Rattus norvegicus: one gene and its partner. The protein of the gene in region 1 purifies or fractionates together with the protein of each later gene. This does not show direct contact. Links are inferred from orthologs where the notes say so. Each region holds a gene or a part of one and is shown on either strand. Other genes may lie near its edges. The genes, in order: Git1 and Grk2.

Region 1 (4,479 bases):
GAGTTATACCCAATACAAGAAGCAAAAGCCAGCTGGGCAGTGCTCATGCACAACTTTAATCCCAACACTCAGATGGCGGAGGCAGAGGCAGGTGGATGTCTTTGTAGACAAGGCCAGCCTGGTCTACAAAGTGAGTTTCAAGACAGCCAGGACCACATAGAAGAGACTTATCAGGAACCGGCCTAACCACCCCTACCCCTCCTCCCCAAAAGCAAGAAGTCTACCCATTTGTCCTTGTAAGAAGACTTCTGAGTGTACATTACCCTGCAGAATACTCCCCAGCTCTGGTCACTTATAGGCTGGGTATCTGGAGGTCTTTACCCCAGTCTGTCAAAGTGTAAGGCTGACTTAAAGGCTGTGGGTTGAGGGTTAGGAAGTGAACACTTGGGAGCCGGGTCAGAGTGCTTGGGACCAAGGCGATGAGGCAGAGTGGGCAGAGGAAGAGAAAGGGGATAACTGACATTCTTTTTTTTTTTTTTTTTTTTGGTTCTTTTTTTTTTCGGAGCTGGGGACCGAACCCAGGGCCTTGCGCTTCCTAGGTAAGCGCTCTACCAGTGAGCTAAATCCCCAGCCATAACTGACATTCTTCAGTGCACCCCAACTCCTGTTCTGTCCTAGACTCCAAGGCAGGCAGGGGCATGGCACCTGGTGAGGTGGCACAAGCTGCCACAGCAGGTGCATTGTGTCCAGAGGCCTTGCAACATATTCGTACCTGTCTCTGAAGGGTGGGTCTCACCTCTTACCTCCCTTATACTCTTGAGTTAATAAACTACAAGAGACTCCATGACCCCACCCCATGATCTCACGACATAGCCCTGGCTGGCCTGGGGATCTGCCTGACTCTGCCTCTTAAGTGCTGGGTTTAAGGGCACGTGCTGCCATACCTGGGCAATACAGAGGTCTATCACAGTGACGCTGTGACTTTGGGCTATCCTGGGATCTATGAATAGATGAGTTATATTTTCTCATACATCACATACATGGAATACGAGAATGCCAAGCCTTCTTATCTGGGATGCTTATAGGCTCAGATCAAGAATGTCATGATCGGCCAGACCCAGTGTGGTATAGGGCAGTCCTGACAAACACCAGCACTTGTACCTGGGGAGTAGTTGCTGGGCGCTAAGGTGGGAGAATGCCAACATTCTGCCCCTCAGCTTGGTCACCTGCGTTCTGCATCAGAGGGAGAAAAGAGAGTCCTCAGGCAGGCCTGCCCCGGTCACATGAGGATGGGGGCTATGAGCTCAGTGGCCTAACATCTAACACACCCTGTTCCTCCCAGCCCTGACTGGGTGTCCAGAGGCTCTGGCCAGACAGACACAGACAACAAAAAGATAGCTGCTCTATCTTTCAGGCCTCTGCTCCAGAAGCAAGAACACAGACTGGGAAATGCAAGGGTCCTCAAAATCCCAGAGTGAGCAAAGCTTCACAGCGTAAGCTGGAAACAAAGGCACTACCTGAATCAAGGCCTTCCTGATGTTGGCCAGGGAAAGGGAGCGGTCATTTCCAGCTAACTAGGGGTATGGACACCCGTCTGTAAAACATGACATATCCTAAGGAGGTCTCGGAGTCAGTCATCTACAAGATATCCCATGCTCATGGCTCATGGCCAGCTACCCACAACTCCCAACACTCCAGTGTAGACCACAAGAACTACAGGACCATATTCCTTGGGCTCACAGTCAGATCTTGGGATTTTAAGGGGTGACTACAAGGTACGGGCCCACAAACCAGCACTCCACACTCTCACCTAATCACATCTACACTGCCCAGAGTCCACAAGACCCCAAGCCTGTATGGAGAGACTGCTTCTTTTATAGAGGATGGGCAAAGCCCAGAGCTTCCTGCTTCCAGCCAGCTGCTGAGTCCCATCACCTGCTGTGTCCTCCCACAGAAGGGATCAGCCTGGTGAACTGCTGCCCTCCATTCACTTCCTCAGCAAGCCAGGGGGGTTTCATACCAGCTCAGACTGACTGACTCTGCTGGTTAGTAGGGAGGAAGCAGTGTGTAAGTCCAGTCACCTCAGGAGTCAGCCGGACAAGGGGAGCCTAAGCACCCCTCACCACTTGGCCAATGAGCTAGAAACCAGGAGGGATCAGTGTTTAGACTGAGCCAATACCTAGCACACCTTCTCCAACAGGCCTACCCGGAACAGGAAAAGCTGAGTCTAGATGTTCCCAGCCACTAGCAGGCCTGGAGATGCTTCCGGGGAAGATGCCCATGCTTAGATTGTCCCTGAACACCGGGCCCTCCAAGGAGCCCCAGCCTTGGGAAGCCGGGGCTGGAGTCCTAGAGTAGCCACCCCTGTCAGGTGCTCTCTAGGATCCCATATCCAGGCCCCTTGCCTTCTACCGCTCCGGCGGGCACGCGGACCATGTGAGCAGCAGGTGCAAGACGCGGGGGTGGCAGGGATGACACAAACCATACTAGCGCCCACCTCCCACAGCCTGCCGGCCTCCGCCACAGCCCTCCTGACACACCAGGCTGGCGCTTCCGTCTGGATGCCGAGATGGAGGTGGGAGGCGGTTCCCCCCATGTCCACCGGCTCCAACGCACAGCGCCCCCCGCAGCCGGCCCTCCCGCCAAGGACGCCGCTCCGCAGTGGCCCCCGCCCCGCCCTCCGGCCCCGCACGGCGCTCCCGCCAGGCCTCGGCGCCCGTCCGGCGGCGGCGGCGGCGGCGGCGGCGGCCTGCGGCGCGGTCCCGCCCCCGGCCTGGTCCCGCCGCTTACCAGGGGCGCTGCAGTCCGCACACACCTCCGCTCGCGGCCCCTTCCGGGACATCCTCAGCGGCGAAGCGGCCGCAGCCCTCTGGGCCAGCGTGGGGGGCGCGGGCGGCGGGCCCGGGCGGCGGCGGCGGCCCTGCGGCCCGGCCCGGCTCCCGCAAGGCCCCGGCTAGGCTCCGCGCGCGGCCAACCGTCCGCCCCCGGGGCTGGCCCGGAACCCGCCGTGCCCGCCCGCCCGCTCGCCCTCGGGCGCCCTCCGCCCCGCGCCGCCCCGCGCCGCCCCGCCGCCGCTCTCCGCTCTCCCCGCCCCCTGCGCGGCCCAGGCCGCTCCTGCAGGAAGCAGCGAAAGCCCTGCCCACCGGGGGAGGGGCGGCCCGCACCCCGCCCCGGCGCTCCGCTTCGCTCTGTGGCCGAGCCTCTCGGAGAAAGGAAGCCTGCGCGCAGGCGGGAGTGGACCGGGGTTCTTAAAGGAGCCGCGGCCCGCTCCAGCAGGGTCTGCAACCGAGACACTCGCTAGCACTTTGACCTTCACTTTCCGATTGGGGAGTGGTCCAGGGGACTCTCGGTCCAGTAACCGCGAGACGGACGTGGTGGGGATTGCGGTGGACAGGAAGCATCCCCAGGCACAATACTTCTAGCTGTCAGAGGCTGGATTGGGGTGAGGTGTGTGTTCTGGTTCCCTCTGTGTCCAAGTCAGTGTCCATTTGGGTCTGTGGCCATAGCCCTGTGGAGTGCACTCACTACCACCAATATGGACGGCCAGGTGCCCGAGAGGTCACTTAAGTGTGACTCCCTCCCTGAGGGACTAAAAATACATCATTCTTGTTTCAAATAGGAAAGCAAAGAGTCTAGGTGGTTATTAAGAGTGACCACTGTGGTGTGTGCACCAGCTCTAACTTGCTATCTGTTTCATGTGCATCAACGACGTTTCTGGGCCGCCCAACGGGTGTATATGTAGCCTGAGCATACGCTTAAAACACACAGGGGCCAATTTCTATAAGGATCTTTTTCCTTGGACTTCTCATGGAGGGGGGGGGGTAGGAACTGAAGTGCATGCTGTACGTGGGTGCACCCCGCACTGAGCATGCTCCCCCATACACGTGTGACCCGTTTGTGCCCAGCCCCCACCCCTACAGCCGCAAAAGGGCTGTCAGAGCACTCAGCTTATGGAGAGGGCAAAAACACACACAACACCAGGTGGGGGGGGCAGGTCATAGGGAGAGAGGCAGGTCAGTAGTGACATAGTTAAGGGAAAGTTCCCTCGGTGTCAGGGATTCCTGCTCAGTAATAAAACGGAGGTTTGGGAGGAGTCCTTGGATAGGGGTGCCTGAGTGGGTCTATTTCTCCCAGCAGTGGCACAGCAGCAGTGACTTGTGGGTGGGCAGGCTCCTTCCCTAGGGGGAGACAAGCAATGCTTATGAGTCACACCACCCAAAATACACGCTAAGTTCCATCGCCTTTTGCTGCAACCCAGATTGACAAGTTTGTTTGAAATTGCGATCCACAGGATATATTTATAATCTCACCTTAAAAAAAAATCTTGCACCCCCCCCCCCGCCCAGTCAGCAGCTCAGCAGGTGGGGCTTCTGACAGCAAAGGGTGATGGTTATGCCACCCCGTGCTGCACTCATACCCAAAGGTCTGTAGGCTTGGTGGCCCCAGCATTAAAGGTGGGAAGCAGTCTGGCAGCTAAAACTGGGCGCGCAGCCCAGGAGCAGTGGCCGCCCGTTCACCCCGGATCGACCCCCAGCTATG
Region 2 (4,436 bases), on another chromosome or scaffold:
ACCAAACCAAACAAAACCAGACAAGACTTGACAGTCTCAAGTGGGTATAGTGGCATACACCTTTGACCCCAGCACTTGGGAGAACAAAAAGGAAGCAGATTTCTGAGTCCGAGGTCATCCTGGTCTACAGAGTGACCAGGGCATCCAGGAGTACACAGAAAAACCTTGTCTGGAAAAACCAAAACCAGAAACAAAAACAAGACTTTTTATTCTTGGTAGCTCTGGGGGACTAGACTAAGCTGTTGTTTGGCCTTAAATGGACAGTAATCCCATCAGATCTAGATTTGAGGACAACCATTCTGTTCGGAGCCTGCATCAGAGGGCAGCGGTTATAGGAATCCTGAGAGATGGATAGGTCAGTGGTGACATAGGAGGGGGGGCATAGTGGCAGGTGGGGAAAAGCAGTCTGGGTTTAGACCTGGCTGTCTAGGGATGCCATCCACTGACACCCCTCCCCCCCAGATTTGTTTACACCTGAAGTAGTCAAGAAGTCAAGGGAGTGGGGGTGCTTATTTTGTTGGACATGAGTTGATAGGAGAATTAGTTTCTAAGTGTCCAAGACTGAAGTGGGAAGACTGGGTTGAAAGTGTCCTTGGAAAGCAAAGAGGTGCTCTAGCTTGAGACCAGGTCTCACTGTTTAGCCCTGGCTGGCTTTGGCTTTACAGAAATGCACCTGCTTTTGCCTCCCATGTGCTGGGCAGACAGAGTAGGAAGGAGTTGGCTAAGGAAGAAGGCACACAGGAGGGATCAGCGGGTAAAATGCTTGCCACCAAGCCTGAGGACCTTGAATTCTATCCCTAGAGACCTATGTGGTAAAAAGAAAGAACTGACTGTCAAATTGCCTGTCTTCGAACCTCCGTCTGGGCATACACAATAAACAAACAAACATATAAACAATAGGTTCGGCCCTCATCAGAGTATGGTTTGATGGACTATGCCTTTAATCCATTTCAGCCTTTGGGAGCAAGCAGATCTCTTGGGCAGCCTGCTCTACATAGTGAGTTACAGACTAGCCGAGGCTACACGGGTAAACCTCTCTAAAACAAGAACAACAACAAATGTTCGTGGTCAGGAGGGTGGCCCAAGATCTGAGTCTGGGGTCCTGTTGGGAGTTTGAAGTCCAGGATTGTCATCCAAGGTCTGCGGTCAGGTCAGGTCAGATGATGATCTTGAGAGAATGTTCAGAAATTTGAGTATGGGGTCTTGATCGGTGTCAGGATTCTTGTTATGATCCACGGTCTTGGGTAAAGGCCCGAGTAGGAGCGTGGAGTTTAGCATCCGGAGATGCGATCAAGTTAGTGGCCATGGCTTGGGGTCTTGGGTCGATCTGGTGCAAGACTCAGGTAACAACAGTCCAGGACTGAGACTCGTGTCCCGGACACGAGCGGTGCGGCCTCTAGGGGGTGCTGCGGTCCGCCCGCCCGCCCGCCGCCCGCCCGGCTCGGCCCCTCGGCGGCTCGCTGGCGCTGTGCGCGGCAGGCGGGGCCGGAGGCGGCGGCGGCAGCTCCGGGGCGCGGGCGGGCGGGTGGTGGTGGCGGCGGCGGCGGCGGCGGCGCCCCGACTGCAGTCCCGGCGGGAGCGGAGCGCGAGCCGGGCCGGGCCCGAGCCGGCGCCATGGGGCGGCGCCGCCTGTGAGCGGGCGACGAGCGAGGACCGGGCGGGGCGGCGGCGGCGCCGAGGCCGACAAGCCGCGCGGGCCGGGCCGGGCCGAGCGAGCGGGAGCGGAGCGGAGCCTCGGGCGGCGGGAGGAACAGCGCCGCCGCCGCCAAGATGGCCGACCTGGAGGCGGTGCTGGCCGATGTGAGCTACCTGATGGCCATGGAGAAGAGCAAGGCCACGCCGGCCGCGCGCGCCAGCAAGAAGATCCTGCTGCCAGAGCCCAGGTGAGCCCGCCTGTGCCGGGCCCCACGCGCCGCCCCGGGATACAGTGCCCCAGGGACCCCTCTCTCCGTCCTAGGTTCCGGGGACCCTCTGCCCCAGGACCCCACTATCCCGGCTGCCCCATGACCCAAGAACCCCTTCTACTCCGGGGACCTTCTGCCCCGGAGACCCCATTATCCTGGCCGCCCCAGGACTCAGAGACTTCCTCTGCCCCTGCCGCCGCAAGCTTGGTGTCTGTGAGCACAGAGCGCCCCAAGTCCAAGCTCCTAGCCGCGTTCCCCGGGCCGCCTTGCCGCTTCCTGTATCTCACTGCCGGGCCTGGTCGCTGTCAGCCCCAAGCTCTGCTGCAGCCTTCATTCCACCCTGATGCTTGGCTCTGCCCTCTACCCTCTGTGTCCTCTTGTGGTTCCCTTCCTCAAGTCTGCCTCTGTTTACCCGATTGTATCACACAGTCTGTTGCTCCTGCTCCCAGCACCCACTCACCCCCGTTGGTGTTCACTACCCTTATCCACTCCCCTTGGAGTGGGTAACACTCTTGTGAGGTTTGTGGAGTGAGGAGGACCACTCTGGAGACTTTTTTTTTCTTTTGCTTTCGCCTACGGTGGGGTCACTATGAGATTGGGTTTGGGAGTGTTTTCTGGGGACAGTGCAGTGTACCGTCCTTGAGGGCTGCGCTCGGGTGAGGGAAGTCCCTTCTTTACCCTTTTCCCCACATGTGGTTCCTTGTGGGTACTTTTGACCAGGGGACCTCCCATCCTACAGCAACTGGACGTGCTGCCACCTCTCTGCAAGACAACTGATGTCATCGCACCTGGTATCAAAGTTTAAACTGTCCAGGATGTGGGTGCAGAGTAGGGCAGGATGTGAGAGGTGTAGCTGGGGCTTGTCCAGTATACTATGGCAAATAGACTTATCTTCCCATGTGAACTGCTCAGGAGATCAGAGAGTGAGTGAGGCAGGTGTAGTTTTGTTCCCATAGAACAAGGTATGTGTGAGAGAGCTCAGACTTGGATGGCTTGTATAGTGTCACCTGGGTTATCCACAGTGGCACCTGGCCTCCACATCAGGGCTCTCAGCTTCTGGTTTTATGTTTCATCCTGACCTGAAGGGCCTGGATGTCCTGCATCTGGAAGAGATGTGTCCACCCACCAGGATGCCACATGGTGGGTGGTGAGGCCAGTCCCTCCAGTTTCTTATACCAACCCCTTTAGCAGCCAAGAACTGGCCCTGATTTTACTGCCATTCTATGTCATAGGACATGGGGCGAGTTTCCCCCCCACCCCCAGTGGGCAGTGTGAAATAGGCCTCTAGTGGCCTCAGTCCTTAGAGTGGGGTGGGCAGCTTGCAGGCTTGCTGCTGTGCCTCTCACTGGGCCCCTCCTCCAGTGGCTGCACACTGGGTTTCAGTTTGACTGAGAACGGTGCCCAGTAGAGGAAAAATTGGTCTGTGTTTTGAAGAGGCCGTTGGGCCCCCCTTTTTTCTAAGACATTTGCAATCAGATTTCTCAAAACAGGAACTAGACTGAGTGTCAGCTGGGGCTGTCTAGGGGCAGCAGCAGTTAGGATGGAAATGAGTTCAGAAATGACAAAACTTAGAGGGAAGAGTGGGGGAGGTGCAGTCAGCATCTAGGGTACTTGTTGAGCTCTCCTGGGTAGCCACAGCTGTGGGATTCTAATGCAGGTGGGAGGTCTGCAAAGTTTGAGGTGGTGCCTTTTCTAGAACTCTCCATGTCTGGATAGTCTTTCCCCAGAACGAATTGCTCTTAATGGATGCCCACCTCAGGTCGTCTCCCCTGCTGGTGTTCAAGAACCCTGACAGATGATGATCTGTACCTCTCTCTCTTTTTACCTTTTCATATGGCGGCAGCTATGATGTGATGCGATCAAACAAGAATGGAAAGTTTAATAATTCATTATTTATTTTGACATCTGTCATCTCAGTTGATCCAAAAACCAACATGTGAAATTGGCAAGGCCAACAGTTACCAGGATGGGGTGATTTCTGTGAGCAAAACTGAAGCTGGCTTGCAAGTTCTAGGGAACGACACCACAGGTGCAGGGTCACCATCAGTCGTACATTGTTGGGCCAACCGCTCAATCTGTGAATGGTTAGGAGCCTCTAATTCTGGTCACTGGTGTGCTCAGAAGAGTCGCCTTGCAGTAGCCATGGCCCTAGGCATGCATGCTCCCCCACCCCGCCCCCGCTCCCGTCCCCCCACCCCACCCCCGCCAGTGATGGAAAGAAAGCAGGTCCCCTTCATGGTGTACTTTGCGCACTCTCAAGGCAGAGATCTCTTGCCCTTGAAGGTGGTTACCATCATGTCTCAGGTGTGCCCAATATGTCCCAATGTGTGGAGTGTCTTGTCTTCACAACTCTGGGACTCTGGCTGGCCCAGCAGACTGCATTTCTCTCATTTACAACCGAGAGGCTTTGAGGCTTGTCACATAGAAGCTCTGGGATTGGATCACAGATCTCTGGAGTCCTGACCACAGTACTCTTCCTACCTGTGCTTTGTCTCTTCCTCCCAGTCCCGTAGAACTGCTTTGTGACCAGAA

Evidence for each region.
Region 2: the proteins of Git1 (region 1) and Grk2 purify together in Homo sapiens (affinity purification with western blotting; 4 studies listed by BioGRID and IntAct, with this or other methods). This does not show direct contact. The link is inferred for Rattus norvegicus from reciprocal best matches to the Homo sapiens genes GIT1 and GRK2.

What each region holds. Positions count from the first base shown.
Region 1 is NC_086028.1:62,838,749-62,843,227, reverse strand, and holds the start of Git1 (ARF GTPase-activating protein GIT1), read right to left. Parts: upstream 2,835-4,479; 5' UTR 2,783-2,834; coding exon 2,731-2,782; intron 1-2,730. UniProt on the Homo sapiens protein: GTPase-activating protein for ADP ribosylation factor family members, including ARF1.
Region 2 is NC_086019.1:211,028,213-211,032,648, reverse strand, and holds the start of Grk2 (beta-adrenergic receptor kinase 1), read left to right. Parts: upstream 1-1,635; 5' UTR 1,636-1,770; coding exon 1,771-1,883; intron 1,884-4,436. UniProt on the Homo sapiens protein: Specifically phosphorylates the agonist-occupied form of the beta-adrenergic and closely related receptors, probably inducing a desensitization of them. Key regulator of LPAR1 signaling.